Linked DNA regions of Caenorhabditis elegans. The protein of the gene in region 2 purifies or fractionates together with the protein of the main gene of each other region. This does not show direct contact. Each region holds a gene or a part of one and is shown on either strand. Other genes may lie near its edges. The genes, in order: syd-1, sax-3, slt-1 and eva-1.

Region 1 (4,740 bases), on a different chromosome or scaffold from region 2:
ACCATGTTCAAAATTTAATTTAATGGGTATTTTCTGCTGAGAACCTATATTTTCTTAAATCGTCTAACAAAAATTCAAAGACTCACCGGGAGGCGGTTGACTGGCATTCATGCGACTGCGTGAGGCGGTCTGAAAAATAGAACGTTAAATAAATAAATTGATTAATAGTGGCAACGTTATTGAACACTTAATGTTTTAAAACACGAAAGAGTTTTGGTGGGGGTGGTTGGCGTACCCCTTACATGCACATGAAGGCACAACGGGCGGTCCAGAGTCCGAGCAATGAATGCTTTGGGTTAGAAAGGACATTGAAAGTAGAAATAGAGGAAGATGGAGAGATAGAGAGATAGAGAGTCCTAAAACTACACACAAAAATTAATGGGTCCTTTTTCGCGTGGCTAGTCCTGCAATCTCCCAAAACTTTTTGGTTTATCAAAAAGAAAACCGGCAGATAGAAGTTCCTGAATGAAAGGAGCAATGATGTTATTCACGAATAGCGCAGAAAAAGGAAATGAATGAGAGAGAGTTGAATGGAGAGTGAGAGAACTAATAATTTCAGGAAGCAGATGGAAAAGCTGTTGTTTTGTGTCCAGGATGAATTTCGAAAACAAATACGCGGGTATACTCGAATACTCAAATGGTTTCACTTTCAGAAACGCAAATAAAACCGCTATAAGTGTGAGAGACAACAGAAAGTCGTTAAAAGTGAATGGATCTAGCAATAAAGTTATGAAATTTTATTCGACTTTAAATACATTTTTTTGAGTTTCTTCGAGAAAAAAGGGTTGTGTGAATAGTTGATAAAAGTTGATTATCTTTCACAAAAGAATGTTCAGATCTTTATTTTGATGTCTTTTTGTTAATAAAACCAAAGGCATTCGAGATACAAGCCGTCAGAGTAGAGCAATATGGGTACAAATTTAATAGGAAATCACCATTTTTATCATACTTTGAGAACAGTTTTTTTTTAATTTTATATTAGTTGTTCATAATGTTCAAGGAATTTAAATTAGAAAATATACAGGATATTATTTTATATGTATGTATATCAACTTCAAATTTTCCAGCATACTTCTAGATTATAATAGTTCACAAGACGTTTACATCAATTTATTCTGGTGTGTCTTCATAATCTAGGTTCAAAACACTTTACCCCCACTCGAACATTTTCACTTAACCCAAAAAATTCAGGGATTAGCTAATGTTCTCACGGGGGACTTGAAGTCCGAGTGTGCATTCATTCAAAAAAATAGAGCAGAAGAGGGGGACTAGAAAAAAGAAAGAAATCAGTGAGCTCCCGACGCCCTTTTGCTACTGCTACTTGCGGTGTCTAAAACTTAGTGGAATAGAAAAAAGAAATGAGGGAAGAAGTAGAAGAAGAAGAAAACGGCGATGGAATGGAGAAGGAAGAGACTGGTGATGGCGACGACGGCTTCTCCTTCTTCGTCGGAGCTTCGTCGGTGGCCTCGTCGCCATCCGTCTATCGATCTCGTTTCCTTTTAGTTTCGAGTGGGCACACACATATACACACACAAGTCGCCGTTGCTCTCTCGTCTCCGCGCAGTTCAGATAGACGGCATAGAAATTTGTGATACGCAGAGGGAGATAGAGCGGACCAAGTTGAGCCAACGGCTACTAGCTTCTTCTTCGTCCTCTTCTTTATACTTCTCCATCTCTCCTCTTGTTTCCCATAGTAGTAGCCGCTGTTGAGTCACTCTCTGGGAGACATGCTCTTTCGTTGCTCATGCACAAAACGACGTCCCCCCCCCCGTAGATTTCGAATCAAGTTCAGCTCACACCAAACGACATCGACCCTCTTCGTCTTCTTCCGCAAAGACTTCTCATTATTATATTTAAAATGTACCCACATCAAGGATTACCATAGAAGACGAATGAGAATATATATTAGAACTTGAATCACATTGAAACACTTTCTAAGACATACATATTAATTAATATATATATGTGTGGTTAATTGAAAGTTTTCAAACTTATGGCAATGATTTTCAATTCATTGTGTCCTATTATATTTAACCATTATAAAGAAACTGATTAAAACACTTTGTTTTGTTGTAATGAAAGAATTCTAGATTTAGTTCGAAATTTAAATGTGGTATTAGGATCTCCTTAAATATATACACAACATTTTGGAATTTTTTACAACTGTTCCTTTTCCAGTCTTCGTTCAGCTTTCAAGTTCAACAACTTTCATAAGACACATCAAAAACCATATTTCAGAAATTAAAACATTTTTTTACTTTACCTGTTCACCTTCATCAGGATTTTGAGTTTTCCAACAATACATGTTTGTAGAAAAATAAATATAAGTGAGAAAACAGGAAAAGAAGAAAAAACGAAGGTAGTAGTAACAAAACGCATAAAGATTTATACCGTGGCAACTGATTCTATGGATACACGAGAAGAAACATAGGAATTGGGTATTGAGAAGCTGAGGGGAAAAAGGTTTGTCGGGATGTTCGAGCCGAAAGTAGTTCTTCTTTTTCTCCTCTTTTAAGGGAAAGAGTGCACTGATGCGAGAAGATTAGACACCATCGAAATTGAATTTCTCAAGAACTACGGCAATCGAGTTTCCCCACTTTTTTTTCCGACCGCCTGCCATGCACAACAGAAATAAATAAATAAAAAGAAAAGAAACTGATGAGTGAGATACCTGATCGACTGGAGAACAACAACACAGTAATCTGCATAACCAACAGCAGCAACATTCGTTTTGTGGTTCTTCTGTGTAAAGGTAGGTTGGTGGATATGGCATTCCTGAAATGAAATATAAATTTTATTGTTCTTCCGGAAGTCTGCTTTCATTTTTATTCACACATTATTGGGGGTCAGTCAACAATAATGAGCACAACGTTATTTATTTATAAGGGTGACATATATCCAAATGAACATTGACCCTTCCTTTATTACCAAACATACCTTTTGGTGGATTGGTGCCACCGAATCCGTTGGATGTTAACATTGTCAAGAACTTTAAACTTGTGGATATGAGCATAACTCTGTACATATTTAATTTGAAGCAATAGAAGTGTCATATGTTTGAATTATAATTGAAAACATTTATTCAAAAAATAGTTTTCAATAATTTTCAGTAAGAGCCAATCAGACGAAGTGTGCGACGAAGTTAGAAGTTTGGTCTGAAGGTGGGCGTGGCATCTCATTTTAAAGAAAATTCAAAAAGACAATTTTTGCCGAATTAAAAAAAACAAGTTTTCAAAAGTTTAACTTTTCATTCTTTCTGAATTTGTTCGTTTTTGATGATATTTCGGAGTTTGGACAATTTCTAGTGTTTAAAAAATCCTCCATTTATACTACCCCACATTTGAAACGGAATTCATCCACCTTTAAAAGGTAATTTAACGGTTATTGAAAAGGAAAACAATGCCATTTATTTTTCAATTACAGTTTTTAATAGCCAAACCTCTATTTCTACAATGGAGAGGATATGAAACAGCGTTTAAAACAGAATGAAACAAAAAAAACAAGAGAATAAGAATCTCAATCTAGAATATGTTGTTATAGTGACACAAAAGAGACAGATGACATCTCATAAAACATTTCAAATGCAAAATGGACTCAAATGAAACATGAGAAATTATAAGGTTGATGACACGTTTCAGAGTATTTAACGAAAAGTCAATAAAAGGAGGGACCTTCTTCTCCTCTTCGTTGTTTAGTGAAAAACCGAATCGAAAATGGCGTATACTATGAATAATAGCAGGAAATTTGGAGCAATGGAAATTGGCGAGACTGACTGGATATGCGGGCAATGGAGAGAAAACAAAAGAAATGAAAAAGGAACTGAATATATGGGATGAGAACGAGACTACATAATTCTCTCATGTCCGTTCAATGATCGATTTGAATCGGAAAATCGTTTAATTGGAGTTTGAACGAAATCGAATGAGCCCTCAGCTTTTCAACTAAAATCGAAGAAAAGATGGGAAGAATCTGAAAAGCCAAGTGATGGATGTTTCGGGCGCATCTAGAAAAATGAGTTTTCGTAAAATCGGAGAATGAAGTCTTTTTTTTTGAATGAGATATTTGTGTACTTTTGAAATTGAAGATCTTAAATTTACGAGTTTTTCTTTCCAATAGCCTTTTTAGCCCTTTTAGCTCTGTATTACTAGCTACTTTTTTAATCACTTACTTGAAGGTATCGCCGGTTGGGAAGTTGTTTAAAACCTTCATATATTTCTAACATGACCAAATGCCATAGTACTACTTTTCGGAAAAACATTTATTTCAATTACTTGTATTTGCATATATACATAGTAGAACCAGGTACAACCACGCGAAAACGCTGAAAATTTTTCAAAGAGCCACAGCTTTAAGTCAATTTGGCATTTAACCAAGATTTAAACATTTTCAAAATCTAAATACTTTCATAAAATTTATAATGATTTTGAGTGATTTTAAATTTTTTCATCAGTTTATTTGCATCAAATTCCCACCACCGCTACCCCACAGTTAAAATGTCAAAATGAATTTGGTCAACTTTACAGAAAAAAAAGTTTGCATTAATTTTTTTGTTCATTAACAAAAAATTTCAGATTTACATAATTATCTTTTGGTAGTTGATTCCTCTACTCGTATATGCACCTCCATAGTGAGTTATTTTGTAGGTTTAAGATACATGAATGTACTTTTTTAAAGACTTTAAAGTCAACAATAAAATGATTGGTTTTATATTTTCACAGAATTTGCAGCTTATTAATTTGA
Region 2 (4,631 bases):
GCTCCGGGAATCCACGTGGCGGACTGCATTCCAGAACGGCCATCTCTCCACCAAGAGCCTGAAAACAATTGAGTAACGCTTCTGTGAATAATTATTTTTTAATGGTCTAAAAATCGCGTTGACAAATTGTGCAGTGCGGTTTACAGTTTTTGAAAAACTGACGAATGAAGTTTTTTGTAACATTGATGGTCCAAATCTTCGGTTTTTCGGGGTTACCAAAAATTTTCAACTGACAAAATAGTGATAATTTTTTTTTTCTGTAGTTTAACACTAAAAAATGAGGTGACATATTTGAACTGACTCAGAATATGCCGTTTTATTCTCTATTTGTGCGGCACCCCAACTGTTTAACTGACAGCATATGTCTCGAATGCTTTTGAAGATATTAAGAAGTTCAAAAACAATAAATTTACAGAGAAATTTAACAAAACTGTGCTCAGTTAAAATTTTTACAAAAAATCCAATTTGACCGAGATACGAACTGTCAGGGTTGAGCCATGGAAATGCCGCAGTAATAGAGATTATAAGGTAAACTGTCAAAGTAGAAAAGTGCAGGATTAAGTGAAAAAATACGTAATATTATTCAAAGTATTAAACTTTACCTGAACTGTTCTTGGCCGAACTCGAAAGTCTTCGCGAAGCATCGCCAATTTTAACGATCCTTCGTTCGACTTCACTTCTCCGTGCTCGTTGCTGGCCACACAATAGTACGCTCCCGCATCGCTGTCTTTTCCGTTTTTTCCACTATTCACTTTCAGAAGAAACAGGGATCCCGTGTCGAGAACAATCCGGTGGCTGTTCACTTGCTCCTTATTCGTGATTACGGGCTGTCCATCCTTGTACCATGTGATTTTGGCGGTAGATGGCTTTGCACCACAGTTGAGGGTTGCTGGCGATCCCCTAGATACCACCACATCGATGGGATGTTCGATTATCACGGGAGCGAGATTTGAGGCATCTGAAATTATATTCAAGATTTGAAAAGGTTCAAAACAACATCATTCCCCTGTTAGAATTTTTTTTACTTTCCTCATCTCCCATTCATCTTATTTCCACATACATCAACACTTTGATTTTATCCATCTTGACAATGTGAATAAGAAAGGAAACTTGTCCAAGTGCATTAAATCAATCTGACCGATCCGGCACGCGCAATACTGTCACATCTGTATTATGGTGTCGAAACGAACACCTTCCCTCACCGATTTTTCAGTAGAGATGTGCGACACTATTGTCCTTGACGGACGGTAGGTAATAAAATGATTCACTAGGAATTTTATCAAAATTTATGTATGTGTGTGTGTGTGTGTGAGTGTGGTAAAAACCTAGATAGTACATTAACGGCTGGTTTATTGGGTGTCGGTGGTCTATTACATAAGATTGCCATTGACCTCCGACGGATTACCCATCTTCTCCCATCTGCTTCAAAAAATATCAAAAAGCCATTTTGAATCACTTGTTTATGGCATTCACCCTGACACTGCTGCGCACACACTTAATAAAAATTTCAGCAGGCCGACTTGTTTTCCTCCACTTCAAAATACGGACCACTGTTGTTTTCCACTAGTAAATTACCAGACCAAAGTGTGGCTAACAAGCTGCCGGATTCAACAATTTAATTAGCCTGGCTGTCCTTCTGTCTCTTCTGTCACCTCTTTAACCTTTCAACAATCTAGCGTGCCAGTGTCAAAATGTGCGCACGCGAGTAAACTATCCATGAACCAATGTATTGTACTCTGGCTACAATTTAATGGCCGTGTTAACCTTCAAAATATTATACTACGCTGCCTGCCCGCCTTTTCATCCATAGGCAAGACAAAACCAAAGAGCTGTGAAGATGTACACATATCTCATCCTGTCAACACCCAATTTCACAATTCGCCCGTCATTCTTTCGCAACACATTGGTGTTGAAAGCTTCTGCTAAAAAGCAGGCTGTCTTTCTAAAACATGAGATGCAACTGAATATTTTGGACAGCGCCAACAGCTCATTAATAACCTACTAGTCTCTGGGGAGGGATTTCAAATAGCTTCTCATCTTCTATCAACCGCATGCTAATGATTCTCAATTTTACGGATATTCGCATGCATCTTAAAACTGTGCTAAAATGTTTAAATGACCCAGGTTGGGGCAATTTATCACATTGAATAATGACTTGCACATTGCACAAATTACATTGTGGAAATGTGGAAATGTGGAACAAGACAAATATCGAGAGTCTGCGGGTGGTCGCTCCCAACTGTTTCTTATATTTTCGTTGCAAATTACACTGGCTCTGGTCGCTGTACAAAAAGACTTATTGTTTTAAGAGATTAGCATTTGAATGGTGAATACTTGAGAACACGCGCCTCAATGAGACTAACTCCTCTCATTCATTTTCTATACCATTTATTCTCCCCCCGTCCTATTCACTATTGTTTTCTCAACATTACCATCCAAAAGCGGGGCTTGGCTCGGCCAAGAGGGCAGATGGCAGTCCAAAACGATAATCGAATCTTTTTACACTATAGTCGGCAAACGAGCTCACAATCCAAGCAGCGAACCCGCTTTTGGTGTTTGACAAAATGAAGAGTCATGTCTAATAGCGCAAGAGTAGAAAAAGCAGCGAGTAAAGAGCATTTTTCCAAGATGGAGGGCATTCGTTTCCGCGCATTCAGTCAATCTTCGTTTTAATCGCTTTCTTCGACATGGGAAATACAACCCAACCTAATGGATTTTCCAAGTTTCCAAGTGAATTCAAAGAAAACCCACGAGTGGATCGAATAGCGTGTCTTGTTGGCGACGCGTTTTTTTCACCATGTAACTTGACACTTTTGGTACATTCTTAACTTAACATTTTTTTTCTAGAAAAAAAAAACCAACCTTCGCAGAAGCTTCGGATTACTGCTTGCAATACCAGGAGGATAGTGCATAACAGCGTTTTTCGATTGAACATGATCTTGTTTTATTCAATCTGTGTCCAATTTCAAAGGCTGCATCTAATTGTGGCGGTGTTCTGAATTTCCAGTTGGGAGACACCTGCAAGAAAAACACAAAAGTAATCAAAGTTATTGGCGGTTGTTTTAAGAGTGGGCGACAAAATGACGGAAAGAGAATGAGGGAATATAAAAGGAGAAACAAGACAAAATAGGTGATGGGAAAAAGATGGAAAAGGGCGAAAAAAGCGTGGCCCTGGGTGTAATCATTCATCTTTGCTAGGGTGACACTCGGGAGAATAGATTTAGAAGGAAAAAAGGAAAAGACACAACAAAGTAATTGAAAAGTTGACGAGCGTCGTCGTCGTCGTTTTCAAGACGCGAAGACGATTTGTGCGTCCGTTTTTGCGCATTTTCGGTGGTGGTGGTGGTGGAGCGATTCGGACGGAAGCCGACCCTAAATTGGACTAGAGAGCCACATTCTAGAATGAAGAACAAATTTAGTCTTCTACGCGACGGAAGATGTTGGACAAAAAAAAATAAAGAAAAAATGCACGGGAGGCAAAAGTAGCCAGCAGGAAGACAAGCAACAAAAAAAATGAGGACGCAAAGTTAGGAGGCAAACGTAGTGAGACTGGTTAAAGATGACGCGCAGAAGGACGGATGAAGGATGGATATAGAAGATGAAAGAAAATGAACAAGTCGATTTTGAAAGGATTTTCTTAAATGCGGCGAGGCGTAATCAAAATTTGGTGTAGTGAAAAGGCAACTTGAAAAAGGAAACCTACTCTGACAAAAAATATAAAAAATCTTTAGTACTAAGTTCGTGGCAGATTGGGAAGTGTGCAGGAGTTGTTTCAAACTGCACAAGACTCCCGAAAAGCTATGCAAAATTTTATTTTACGCAGGAGTTGTGCAAGATTGTAGTAAGAATCCGTTGAAGTTTCAATCTAAGTAGAACTTCATCAAGTCTATATAGGCGTTTTACTTTACTTGGGAAATTTGATTTTTGCCAGAGTATCAATAAAATAACTATAGCTACAATTTGAACATGGAAATTAAAAACTTCAAACACAGCAAAATGGCCAAAATTAGGAAAATACCTTGAAATTAAAAGAAAAACGGATTTTCAACATCACCAAATGGTTCAAAATTTTTATACATACAAAAAGCTTTCATTGTTTCTCTAACAACCAAAAAGAAACAAATCACAATTTAGTACAAATGCATTTGCAGAACATTTAAAATGAGGACCGTTGAGACGAATTGCTAGAAGGCGTAGACGCAGAATGTTAGACATCAGATTTCCTCTTCAAGGTGTGTGTGCAATGCGCGGGGAGATAAACGCGCAAAGAGGAGTGAGACAAGTATCGATTTATGTTGTGCCAGCGATTGAATAATACTGATTAGATAAACTATCTGGCAACAGGCGGGCGAATAAGAAAAATCAATACGCTTTATTCTAGACAAGAAAGTACTCGAGAACATATCAAAGCTCTCAACTCAATAAGGTCGTCAGAAAGCTCATAATTGTCAGATAAATAACCTAAATAATGCGCGTCAAGAGCACGGCGATGACGGATGTCCATGTCATGCAAGCGGCTCGATACGGAACGAAACCGCATGGAATATGAGGGGATAGCCGGGGCTATACGTCGCCCCCTTCCCTGGTTAAGTAATTATTCCAATTCGTGGCCGCCCTCCTCTCACATTCGA
Region 3 (4,942 bases), about 11 Mb from region 2:
GTCAAAGGCTTGGTGTTTGCACCACATATGGCGAAAGGCGGTTCTTTCAAAGCGGCCGACAGTTTTCGGGTTTCGCGCAGAGTTATACAGGAGGCAAGGAAGGTGTTTTCGCGCCTGCATAAAAGCCTTGTTCAAAGCTTTGTGGCAAACTGTGTAGATTAGCGGTATTCTACGGGTTTATTTCATTTGTCTTATCTAATTGCGCAGATTCTGTTTAACTTTTTCAGGAAGCAACGCTCCTGCTTTTGATCTCACCTTTGCATTTGAACTTATTTGGCGGTAAAGTTGCAAATTTCTTTTTTCTCAGCCGTTTGGGTTGTTCACATCTTGCTCCACTTGTTTCAATATTCTTCTGTAAATTTATTTGCGCCAGCCATTGCAAATTGCAATCACAAATCAGTGGATTCTTGGCAAGATGCAGTGTACTCAAGCTGGTAAGATTTTGAAATGTTACTTCACTGATTGACTTGATATCGTTATCATATAATGACAACATGCTCAACTTCGGGACATGGTCAAATGTTCCCCTCCGAATGCACGTCAATTGATTGGCATTGAGGAGTAATAATTGTAAACTTCCAAGTCCCTCGAAAGTATCCGATTTCAAGTCGGTTATATTATTCCCGTAGAGCACTCTGGAATACAATTTGATGAGTTCGAACAAAAGTGACACCAATGAACTCACAATGTGTGCAGATTGTGAAGACCGAGAAACGCTTTCGGTTGGATTTCAGTGATTATATTTTTGCTCAGATCTCTGAAATCAGAAAGATGCAAAAACTGAAGACGCTAGATGAAAATAAACTTACAGTCGTGTCAAGTTCTTCAGATTTTTGAAGGAGTGAGAGGGAATTGATGAAATCTGATTTTGTTCGAGTCTTCTGAAACAAAAGAAAAATTTTCAGAACATTTTTTGACACTTCTTGGCACTCTTGGAAAGTTTACAGGTTCTCTTTTTGTTGTTGAGTCAATGTTTTTTTTTCTAAGACAATTAAATAGATAATATTGTTAACTTCCTAGAAATACGTTGTCTTGATGTAGTTTTAAGTTTTAAGAACGACGCTCAAAAACTTTAAGAGATTCTGCAACTTCTAACCAGATTAACAGCAACTTTTCGAAATTTTTAATTAAACGTAAAGCTATTTTCTTTAGAAAAAGTACTTTAAATTGGAATTTTTGAGCAATATGAATTTTGTAAATTTTCAAAAAAAAAAGCGTCACACATCTCTGATACTTTCAACACTTTAAAACAAAAATCACGGGAGGCTTCACAAAATAAAACCAAAAATTTCCCTATTTCATGTATAAGTTAACCTATTCAATTCATTTGAAAAAAATTTACAAGAACTTACATTTCTGTGGTAGACGGTGGAAGGTTTGTTGGTACGTATGTCAACCCGGAATCCCGACAATCTACAGTCGTTCCAGTGCACGTGCATGGTAGTGGACAAATTTCCGCAGTTTCGCAGGTTTTCTTATATCTACGTTTTCGGTTTCCGGAACACGTCATAAACTGAAAATTTGGAAAATATTTAACAACGTTTTTTTCCTTCAAAGTTAAAATTTACCTTGTCTTGGAGAATTTCTATCGAGGACCCTTGCAAGTTGAGTGGAGTTGCACAAACTGTTTTATTCTGCCCCTCTGCTTTTTCTAGCCATTTTCGCATCCATCTCAAACGGCAATCGCAATTCCAAGGATTATTGAAAAGGTCCCTTAAAAGCAAACTTCTTTAAACATTCTATGGTATGCTCTTTTTTGAAAACAAAAACAAGCAACTTACAATTGTCGGAATCTTGCATTTGAGGGCTCTTCAAATGTTGTTAATCGGTTTCCATTCAGTGTAAGTACTTCTAGAGACACCCAAGAAGAAATCACATTGTTCTCAAGACTAAAAGAAGAGAAAGGAAAATAGAATAGCCGGATTGAAAAAAACTTACCAGAAGATATGATTTTTATCCAAGTTCAAGACTTCCAAAAATTCAGGACCTTGTAGTTGTGCGTCAGAAACCACTGTTATGTCATTTTCACTCAAGTCTCTGAAAATGAAAATAATAACTAATTTGATTTTTTTTTGAAGAATAAACGTACAAGTGAGTAAGTTTCAGATTGTTCTGAAACACGTTATCTGGTAAATGGCGTATACGATTTCTGCTTAATCGCCTGAAAACTAGAGTTTATTGGTTTTCAAGACTACGAAACTTACAGCTTTTGAAGAAATACCAGAGAACTAAAACTTTGATTGTGAATAGTGACAATTTGATTGTCCATAAGTTGTCTGAAATTTAATATTTAATTGAAAAAAAACGGGTTGTTTTGTTTTATTTACTGTACTTCAAAGTGAAGGGCTGTGTTCTTGTTGCAAATATGAACCGACAAAAATATCGCAAAAATTGCTCTATTGAAATTGCGCCAAAAAAATTAATTTGAAGCCATGATGTTATACTAGACGTTAGTTGAGTTTTTTTCAGTTTTCCCAAACAAGATCTGATCTTAGGGATATTATCTCAAGTGTTCAAATGGTTCAACTTTAAAATTCGAGTGGTTTTAGGCTGTCCTATCACGGTTTGATCTACAAAAAATGCTGGAAATTTTGGCCCACAAAAAGTGACGTCAGAACGTTCTTAACCATGCGAAATCTGTTGAGAACCCTGCGTATCAACTCCCAACTAGACCTACGTAGATCAAACCAAAAAGGGACACTCTGACACCAAGTGAAACTTACAAAGCTTTTAAATTCATAAGACTGCTGAAATCGTTCGGTCCGATTTTGGTTATTTCATTGTCTTGTAGATCTCTGTAAACAACATTTATAATTTTTTCAACCATGGCAAACTAACAATCTAATTGTATCATTCGGGATATTTTGTGGAACTTCTGTGAGTTGTTGGCCAACACACGACACAGTTCGGTCCACGCACACGCATTCTGCCGGACACGTGGCACTTTCAGGTATAAGTAGAATAAATATGAAGCAAATCAGCATTCCGACATCCACAAATCCTTGGGGACAATGAAATTAGTAGTTCAGTTCTGCAAAATGAAGTTTAGACAAGTGGCGGGTGGTCCACTAATGTTTTATGAGATGTTTGTCTTGTCCTCCCATCCTGCCGGTCCATTAACACAACCTCGTGGAGACACGATTTATGTGTGGAATGGCGGTGGTTGTGAGGGAAAAAAGAGTTGGGATAGGGGTGGGTACGGACACGAAAACTTTCCGGGAAGGGTAGAAAAAGAGAAGCAGCAGAAAACTAGAAAGAGCGAATGTTTTAGTGTGATAATGAGACATTGGGATAGAAGACAAGTCCCACTTTCGTGCATCTTCCACACACCACTTAAACCAACACAAATGACAGATAAAAGAAGAGTTGTAGACTTGTGTGTGTGTGTGTGTGTGTGTGCCGGATGAGAATGAGAATGAAATGGGGTAGGCGGGTGACATTGAACACAATGATGATAAAGAGATTCTGTTCTCGTGTCTCGGAGCAAAACAATTGGATGGATGAGATAGCTATACTGATGGGTGTGTATACTAACTATTACCATGTGCACTTATTTAATATTCATCGGGAATGATAAAGTAGATGAGGAAGGGAAAATGTGCGAGGGTTCACACATTGGTTAGTCGTCTTAATACTTTATTAATCTCGTTGTTTGGATAATTAGCGAGAGAAACACAAGCGATATTGGGGGATTCAAAATTGTTTTAAAGGTGGAGTACCGAAATTTGAGACTTTGCTTTTTTAGACCAAAAGACTCCGAAACTACCAAATTTCGTAATGAGATGTTCAGAATGTTTTTCAAAAGAAAGTTATGGCCGCTTAAAGTGTTGAAAAAAAATGGTATATTTTTCAGCTAAAATCTCAAATTTTGGCAACTTTTTAGTTCGTTTATTGGGATGCTTTTTCGGTCGATGCGGGCACAAAATTGTATCATATTTGTGCCCGCATTGACCGAAAAACCATCCCAATTGACATAATTAAGGTAATTAATTGCGAAGACCTACACTAAAAAATGATCAACAAATAAAAATTAAGTTCCAGCCGCTGTGACACCGAAAAGTTGATAAAAGTTGAGATTTTAGCTGAAAATAGACACTTTTTTTCAAAAACGTTGAGCGGCCATAACAAAGTCTCAGATTTCGGTACTCCACATATAAAGAAAGGTACATGTAGTGCATGGCCGTGCTCCAAAAATATGAACTTTTGAGGAAATCCAAAGCAATGCCGCATGTTCAGATCCCTACAATGTTTTAATGCGAATAATTAAAACAAAATTATTATATAAAAAATGTAGAAAAAAAATTTTTTTTTGGTCGACTTCCAAAATTATGAGTGGCAAAAACTGTTTATTGTCATTTTATGACAGTAAATAAAAAAATTCAAAAAAAAACAATTTGAACATTTTTATTATAATATTTGGTCGTTTTGGGACCATAGGAATGGTTTTTAACAACTTCCCCACTGGCACTACATCACCTTTAAATACCTAACCTAACATTATGAATTACTCTTCATTTTTAATAAAAATTAATGGAAATATTAAATTTACGGTTCCTACCTAAATAAATGTTAAGGTATTTTTTCTCAGTAGTGCCATTTTAAGAAAAACAACAACCACTCATCAAAGTAACAGAACACATTTGGGAGAACAAAAAATAAGGGCGCGCTGCTTCATTTTTCCTATATAAATTGTCTCATATTACACGTTTGTTGAAAAGAGCTTTTGTTACTATTGCGAGAAAAAAATTGTAAAAGAAAAATTGTCAGTTCAGAGTGTTGTGGTTAGAAAAAAAATTGTGCAAAGGTATAAGAATAATGAATATATTTTAATTTTTTTAAACATCCAGAACAAGTGAAAAATAAACAAGTTGCAGTATATGTAATTGGGCAAATTAACATTTGCAAGAATTATGCACATTCTTCCAAATACCGTATTTCCTCT
Region 4 (7,431 bases), on a different chromosome or scaffold from region 2:
TGCTCATATTGATCAGGGGTGGACGGCAAATCGGCAATGTGCCGAAAAAATTGAAAACTTCTTGCAAATTGCCAATTTGCCGAATTTGCCGAAACTTTTCGGCAAATTGTGGTTTTCTACATTTTTTTTCGGAAATTCCAGAACTTCAATTTCAATGGGAAAAATTGTACGCATCCTATGAATGTCCCTACGCCTTTTTTGAAAAGTAAGCGAATTCTATGAAAATATCTAAAGAAAACGGAAAAAATTTCAAAAAGGTACAGTTTTAAGTGTTTCCCAATTATAAAAAAATCCCTCTAAACATTTCCGGCAAACGGCATTTTGCCGGAATTGAAAATTTCCGGCAAATTGGCAATCCGGCAATTTGCTGATTTGCAGAACGGCAATTGCCGCCCACCCCTGATATGGATGTTTATGCAGATTTTTTAAAATACATGCGTTTGTTTTTGGTTTTCAAAAAAAATTATATTTTAAGAATAACATCTGATATTGACAAGAGCACACTTGTCATTCACATTCCCTTCTTTTATTTTATTTTACATTTAAACTTCTATTCTCATCGCCGTTTCCCGTCTCCTTTGCAGCCAACACTTGTGAGCTCAGAGACTAAAATGCACGGCGGCGGTGCGTTTCTTTTTCATTCATAAAGCCGTTTTCTCCTGAATCGTCGGCATGTGTCTGAAAATCCGATTACCACTTTTTGAATAGAAAATGGAATGGGTGAGGGGGAAGGGAAAAGGGAATCGAACAACAAAGAGCGCAACGGATTACCTTCACGAATGCTTACTATATGATTTTGGATTTCCTATGGTTTTAAGGAACAAGGACTAATAACCAATTTTATTCAACCATTATGGCAGAATGGTATTTTCATTATAAAAAGTCCAAAATATTTGAAATTCTGAATTTAATTTCCATGTATCTTATTAACAGTTATTTAATACTCTTTTACACTAGCTAAAATATATTCTGGTCAATACATAGATTATGCCTCACTTTCCTCACTATTCTCAAGTACTTACTCTCATTTGCATACTAATTGACTATTGTCATGATGTTCATCTCTGTACTACATATTTCAAAGGATGAGTACACCACTAAAGGGCGAAAAAGGTTAGCTCATCCCCATGCTCCGCCTGGGGCGATTAGGCTTTTGTTGTACTGCTGGGCACCGAAAGCAACTTGGTTTTTCAGTTTCTCACGCTGAAGTCTAATAATTTGCGGGACTATGGGCAGGTGTACATGAAATTAGGGAGAACAATAGAGGAGTTTTGTAATTGATGAATTTGTAATTATTATTAGAAAAGAAATTGGTGAGTAGGATAATTTGACATTTTCCCCCAAAAAATAAGTATATTGGTTTTATATCTAACTTTGTACAAAATGTGTATTAAACATTTTTCATGTGTGCGACAAATTTCCAAACTTGCCGAGCTCGGCAACTTCGGCATATTTGCCACACACCCCTTATTCTTATCCTTGCCTAGTAACCAACTTTTTGCTGATCTTCTCCGAAATGTGCATTCCATTCGATTTTATTGTGTACAACAGCAATAGGGTGTGTACTACACTCACAACAATTTGTCCCCTCCTCCCAGTTGCCTCTCCCCCAAATATCTTCCCAACACCTGCAACATCAAGGCGGTGCTCCGGGAGGAGAGTAGTCAACTGATCTCCTTTTCTCCATTTTTTGTTGTTGACAACCGTTTTTGACACCTTCAAATATGATTATCGTTCTCTCAGTTCAGTTTCGGCAACGAGGCGTGGCTTGGGAAACCCCACCCCCTTTTTGCATGTCCCTCTGCTTCTTCAGAGTGTCCCGTTTTCTTTTCGTCAAGGCTGACAGCTAACCTATGTGATTTTTGTTCTCATATTGTTATTGTCATACTTTTATTTAACTTTTCCAAGGAGTTAAAAATAATTTTACAGCTTCCCATGTGAATTGTCATGAATATGCATATAGTTTCCCCGGTTTTGCTCTTATTTTGGTTTGGAATTATCGTAACTGATGGTAAATTGAAAAGCGGATTTATTGGTGGATCACATCATCATGAAGTTAATCCAATCGAAGGTTTGTTTTTTTTTTTTTCTACTTGAAACTTATACTTTCCCAGCCTTCTTCCTTTTGAAAGGCGTTTTTTGAAGTAGAAACCTATCGCTAAACGAACACATTCATCACTCATCAAGATGATGATCTATTCGCGCCGTCATTTTTATTGCGTAGCTATTATTATACCTCGCATGATGAGTTGAAATTTGTAGGTCAGAAATTTCCTAACTTCTAGTATTGAATTCATCTTCTTAAAGGTATTGTCTAAATACACTTATAATGATTAAAATTTTGAAAAATATGAGCTTTTGAGGAAATCCAATGTGTCGCATGTTTCCACCCCTACAACTTTTTGATACAAATAATTAAAACAAAATCAAAGTATAAAAAATGCAGGAAAAAAAAATTATTCTGGTCCACTTCCAAAATTATGAGTGGAAATAACAGTAATTGTCACTTTTTGACAGTAAATAAAATATGTTCAAATAAATATTGGAAAGTTTTATTATGATCTTCGGTTATTTTGGTACCATTGTAGTAGTTTTTTAACACTTTCCACACTGTTGCTACTCCACCTTTAATAACAAGGGGCTTGAATAAGAGTAATTCAAGTACAATGAAATAGAGTTCGTCGAAAATTCGAAACCTCCATTTCCTTTCCGAAGATCTCCATTAGCAACAATTCCTTTTCCGCCCTTGCGTTCTACTGCTCTAGCTCCAAGAGAGGCCCCCCGTAATTCCATAATTGTATAAAGTGAGTGTGTGTCCCCCTTCACCCGTTTATCCCTTACCCGGGGGGTCTGTTGCCTTCCTCTTTTCCGGATGCATAGCAGCAGAAGGCGTAATAAGCATAGTTAAGTGCACAATGTTATAAACAAATGTCTCTTTTCTATATCTAGTGGGTCATGACATGAACATGATGATGATGAAGAGGAGTATCCACTCAGCTTCCTCTAAACAAAATGGACATCATCTTCGAGAATTATTGAGAATTTCAAAGTTGGGATGTTGCAATCGAATTTTACTACCACCTTGTAAAAATAATAAACATTTCGAAATCCTCCCGTAAAAAAGTGCTCATTCAGCTTCCGAGCCCCCCACAACATGCGTGTCGAGTGTGTAAAAAGAGAAAAGCTCGCCCGCTGCTCTCAGAGCAACATTATCACCACACGGAGAGGGTTTTTACGTGGTCATGCTGAGAACCCAGGGAGCTAATGGCTATGTATCAATTGACAGCTTCCGCGAGAGCAGAGAGCTCAGCGGTAAACGAGAAATAGAAAAAAAAAACAAATGAAACTAAATGTCAAATCATGAACGTTATTACGAAAAGAAAATGTTTAACTATAGCTTGAGATTTTATTGAACGTAATTTTGGCAAATTCCTTATTTTGTTCTGATTGGCAGCAGCAGATCCGTAGAAATACATAAACATTTTGGCAATTCCAATCCATTCCAATACTTGAAATACGAGCCCATTTCCATTTGCCACCGGAACATGCCTCCTCGGTTGCTCTCTTTGCGTGAGAGCACACCTGCCTTTTGAAGCAGCATAACTTTAGCTTGTGCTGAATTTACGTGGGAAAATGCGGAGGGACACCGCAAAAGTTACTTGCTAAACTTACTAAGCCTTAGAAATAACCCAACAAACTCTAAATGCCAATAATTTATTCTAAAAATTTATTTTAATGTAGTCGATTTTGCGCAAAAAGATATATATCATAGCAAATGAAAGATGCACATATTTAATAAGTCATGTACTACGGCATTCGACAAGAAAATTTATATATATATATATTCCAAAACAAAAGTTTATCTGAAAATTTGCAACCCCACAAAACCGATAATTTTCAGCAGCTCTACTTGTTCGGGCTCGCCTGGGTAGGTTTCGCATGCCGCTGTTTTTTCCAGTTCACTAAGCACAGCGCATAATTGGAACTGATGCTTTCTTATTTCTTAAGAAGCCAGATTGGATATTGCCTGTTCTCCTCTCTGTTAATTGCTAGGTGTCGTTTTTTAAAGAGAAATCAAGGAAAAAGAGGAATCAGCAAGCCGCCAGCTGCTGTTGTTCAAGATATTACTAATTGCTAGTTGAATTGAAAAAGGATAAGGTGGAATGATTTGCTTGGAAATTAAAAGTGAAGCTTTGCTTATTGTCGATAAACATTATTATTTGCTCACAAGATGTATCTTCGAAGATTCGAAACTGTGCTAGCTGTTTAGGGCAAAACTTGAAAGTGCTGAAATAATTTAATATGGTAACTTTGTTCAAACTAATAGCAATTCATAGTTCAACAAGGAGTCATGGTCAGTTTATTCCATTTTTCGCAAAACTTTCACACACACTTATGCCCAAAGTATCGGACGTTTTTCAAAAACTTTATGGGGGTCCATTTTATGACCTCTCTTTTCTTTCGCACGCTGACACCGACTAATTCACTCCGTTTACTCAGTCACTCTCAGTTTTAGTACCTGGTGACCTTCACACCAGCGAGTGTGATCGAGAGGGACCGAAACGAAAACGAACCGCTTTTTTCTAAAAAATTTTTGCGGAGGAATTTAAAATCAAAAATACAATCATTTTTGCAGGAATCCTCAGAGAGTCACTTCGATCCAATAGAGTTCAAGCTTGCGATGGAGAACGAATCACGTTAAGCTGCCCAAGAAATACACAGATTTCTGTACAAACCGGGTTTGTAAAATTATCAATCTATCCTAGATTCATTCAACAAGTTTTCAGGTTTTATGGCCGCGTGGTCCCAGAAAACCAATTATGCCCTCCACAGGCTGGAAGAAAGCATTCCGAAGCTAATCTAGATCCATTATCAATGATCCATCACTCAAGTACTTGTGATGTGATACAAGCTCATACGGTAAATCAATGCCAAACACTCGTCAATTGAAATCATAAGTTTCAGAGAATATCGGAACTTTGCGATAAGCGCCGAAAATGTACAGTTGTCGTAGATTCAAACACATTTGAAGATGATCCGTGCCCAACAACTTCAAAATATCTTCAGATGGCATATGGTTGCATTCCAATGTCTTTCGATGAGGAAACATTTTGTACTCCAAAGCCCACTGATCCACCTCGTCCAGAGATTCGTTTAGAGTGTAGGGAAGGTAGACGGTTGGCTGTGTATTCCGCACAAATGAAGACATCGCCTCAATGTGATCCCGAAACCGAAATTAGACATGGTAAGTTGAAAAGTTTTTAAAGATATTTTGTCAAACAGAACCACAAAGACCAATTAAACAAATTATGCTTTCTGATAAAATGCAGAGCTTGAGGTGCTTCACCTTTTCTCTATTTCCTCTTTTCTGATACTTTCACTGTTTCGCAATTGTTCTCATTCTTCCCATTGTGAGTTGATGACACACATCCAATTAGCCTCATCTTCTTCTTCTATCCATTCCATTGAGCCTCCCGATGAGCTAAAAGTAAGATAGTACTGGTTAGCAAGAGACGTAGCCAGAAAACACTCTGACAATTGTCTTCTGAAGATCCGGGGCTTTGGGTTCAAAATGAAATGGGATGGTGGTGGAGGAGGAACACACGAGAAGGGTGAATACTAAAGTAGGATTTCCGTTTGGTACGAATTGACGGAAAATGGGAAAGATGTCAAGACTCTCATTGTATCGAATTTTTTGAAAAACTATAGTGTGGAAGGAAAAATAGAATTATCGTTTACTATTTAATCAAAAAAATTTCAGAATGCGTCTCAGACGTCTTACCTCAAGTACTTCGTCAATGCCACGCCAAGGAAGGGTGCACACTAAAAAGTGATGGCATAAAAGGTCATTGCAGACATGGGCATCTTCATGTCGTTTATGTTTGTGGTAATAAAACAGATCAAGTTTAAGGATAATGTAGAATATTTTCAGTTAACGAGGAGATATTCTCAGAGGAGGCCATCAAAGGCGAGCTGACCTCATTGGAAACTTATTTGAAGGTCCGTCCGGTTAATTAACATTTTCGATTAAAATTTAACAGCATACGCTTCAGTAATAGTATTTCCTCTATCATTAAATCATACAATACTTTTTTTAAAAAAGATGGCGCAACTCTGTTAGATGGGCAAAACTAACAGAAGTGCCATATTAATAGAGGGCACGCTGTTTTTGAAAACTGTTTCTCAAAATAATTTTCAGGAAGCCGACGCAATGCAAAAACAGGATGACGAACGATTTTTCAAGGATGTCAATGATAAGACACAGTGGGAAAGAGTGGTGGATAGTGAGCCGGCTAAGGATCCCGATGTACATCAAATTGCTAACGATGGTATCGCTTTTTTTCACTAAACTGATATTATATAACTTTCAATTTGTAGCTTCCTATGTAACCCATGACGAGTATCGAATGGAAAAGCAAGATCCTCCTCCAATAACGGAAAGAGTGGAACCAAACCTAGTGGGTGTTGGGCACGATCTTCTTCAAGTTGTTCAGTTCTTTAAAGGTATGAGTTTCAAATAATTCTCAGAAAATCATCCTAGATTTCAGAAAACAAAGAGAAGGCGGTCATGTGTATTGTGTTAGCCGTGAGTATGGCTGCAATTGTTGTGCTCTCCGCGTGTATCATCACTCGACTGTGTTCCTCAAACAAGGATAGTTCGAGGAGCTCAAGGAGAAGCAGAAGTAGAAGGTCACTGGAGACTAGCAAATTGGTGTCAAGTAATTGTAAGTACTTTACAACCTTTACATATATTGCAATTTCGCTATACCTCTAGATGGTGGCTCAATCACTCCACAGCACATGATGCAAGACATTGAAGACGAGCAGTTCCTCCGATTTTCGATGGGTTCCGCAGCAACATCCAATCCACATTATAGTCACTATGATTTTTAAATCTAATTCCTCTCACATCCATAACTCTTGTCTTACTTCTACGGGTTCATCTAGTCACTTCTAATTGTTGGAAATCATTGCTTTCGATATAAAAATTGTTTCAGTAAAACATTTTAAAGTCACAAATAATGATTCAGTTGATAGACACATTTTAGCAAATTCAGGGCGAATTTACACGTCAACTGAGAATAATAAAACACTTCATTTTAACATGGTGCATCGCAAGGCAGTATCTTGCTTAAAATATCTGGCATTGCCGACGAGGATATATTCGAATCAATTAAAGACGATGCAATCCATTGCTGATAGTTGCTACTCTACCTTCAACATTGACTTTTATCCAAATATGCTTTACAGTTGTTCGGTATTGTATAGACATTGCATAGAAAATAAAACAATTTATAGACCCATTCAGAGCCAGAACAGAATGTAATGCCGCGTCAAGATTCATAGGTAGGAAGCTGAAACAAAAAACCATGTAGTTTTTCGGTAGACATAGTCTTAACACTCACAAAAATCCCAGATCAGGGTAGATGA

What was found.
Region 1: the proteins of sax-3 (region 2) and syd-1 purify together in Caenorhabditis elegans (affinity purification with western blotting, with the first as the bait; one study listed by BioGRID). This does not show direct contact.
Region 3: the proteins of sax-3 (region 2) and slt-1 purify together in Caenorhabditis elegans (affinity purification with western blotting; 2 studies listed by BioGRID, with this or other methods). This does not show direct contact.
Region 4: the proteins of sax-3 (region 2) and eva-1 purify together in Caenorhabditis elegans (affinity purification with western blotting, with the first as the bait; one study listed by BioGRID). This does not show direct contact.

What each region holds. Positions count from the first base shown.
Region 1 is NC_003280.10:7,591,896-7,596,635, forward strand, and holds the start of syd-1 (Rho GTPase-activating protein syd-1), read right to left. Parts: upstream 3,018-4,740; 5' UTR 3,014-3,017; coding exon 2,938-3,013; intron 2,776-2,937; coding exon 2,672-2,775; intron 1,693-2,671; exon of another isoform or gene 1,414-1,692; intron 346-1,413; exon of another isoform or gene 200-345; intron 130-199; coding exon 87-129; intron 1-86.
Region 2 is NC_003284.9:3,462,908-3,467,538, forward strand, and holds the start of sax-3 (Protein sax-3), read right to left. Parts: upstream 3,021-4,631; 5' UTR 2,979-3,020; coding exon of another isoform or gene 2,949-2,978; 5' UTR 2,936-2,948; coding exon 2,863-2,935; intron 959-2,862; coding exon 603-958; intron 59-602; coding exon 1-58. UniProt on the Caenorhabditis elegans protein: Required to confine migrating sex myoblasts to the ventral muscle quadrants during their migration through the body and for multiple aspects of sensory, motor, and interneuron axon guidance.
Region 3 is NC_003284.9:14,672,417-14,677,358, reverse strand, and holds the start of slt-1 (Slit homolog 1 protein), read right to left. Parts: upstream 3,032-4,942; 5' UTR 2,985-3,031; coding exon 2,839-2,984; intron 2,796-2,838; coding exon 2,724-2,795; intron 2,277-2,723; coding exon 2,205-2,276; intron 2,162-2,204; coding exon 2,090-2,161; intron 2,038-2,089; coding exon 1,939-2,037; intron 1,890-1,938; coding exon 1,782-1,889; intron 1,714-1,781; coding exon 1,569-1,713; intron 1,514-1,568; coding exon 1,353-1,513; intron 882-1,352; coding exon 810-881; intron 758-809; coding exon 686-757; intron 636-685; coding exon 256-635; intron 1-255. UniProt on the Caenorhabditis elegans protein: Functions as a ligand for sax-3 receptor during larval development. Acts via the sax-3/Robo receptor to direct ventral axon guidance and guidance at the midline during embryonic development.
Region 4 is NC_003279.8:14,829,338-14,836,768, reverse strand, and holds eva-1 (SUEL-type lectin domain-containing protein), read left to right. Parts: upstream 1-1,947; coding exon 1,948-2,071; intron 2,072-3,901; coding exon 3,902-3,928; exon of another isoform or gene 3,929-4,636; coding exon 4,637-4,739; intron 4,740-4,787; coding exon 4,788-4,920; intron 4,921-4,965; coding exon 4,966-5,245; intron 5,246-5,380; exon of another isoform or gene 5,381-5,498; intron 5,499-5,761; coding exon 5,762-5,887; intron 5,888-5,932; coding exon 5,933-6,000; intron 6,001-6,199; coding exon 6,200-6,329; intron 6,330-6,378; coding exon 6,379-6,504; intron 6,505-6,548; coding exon 6,549-6,725; intron 6,726-6,775; coding exon 6,776-6,894; downstream 6,895-7,431. UniProt on the Caenorhabditis elegans protein: Acts as a receptor for slt-1. Required for the guidance of the AVM pioneer axon to the ventral nerve cord.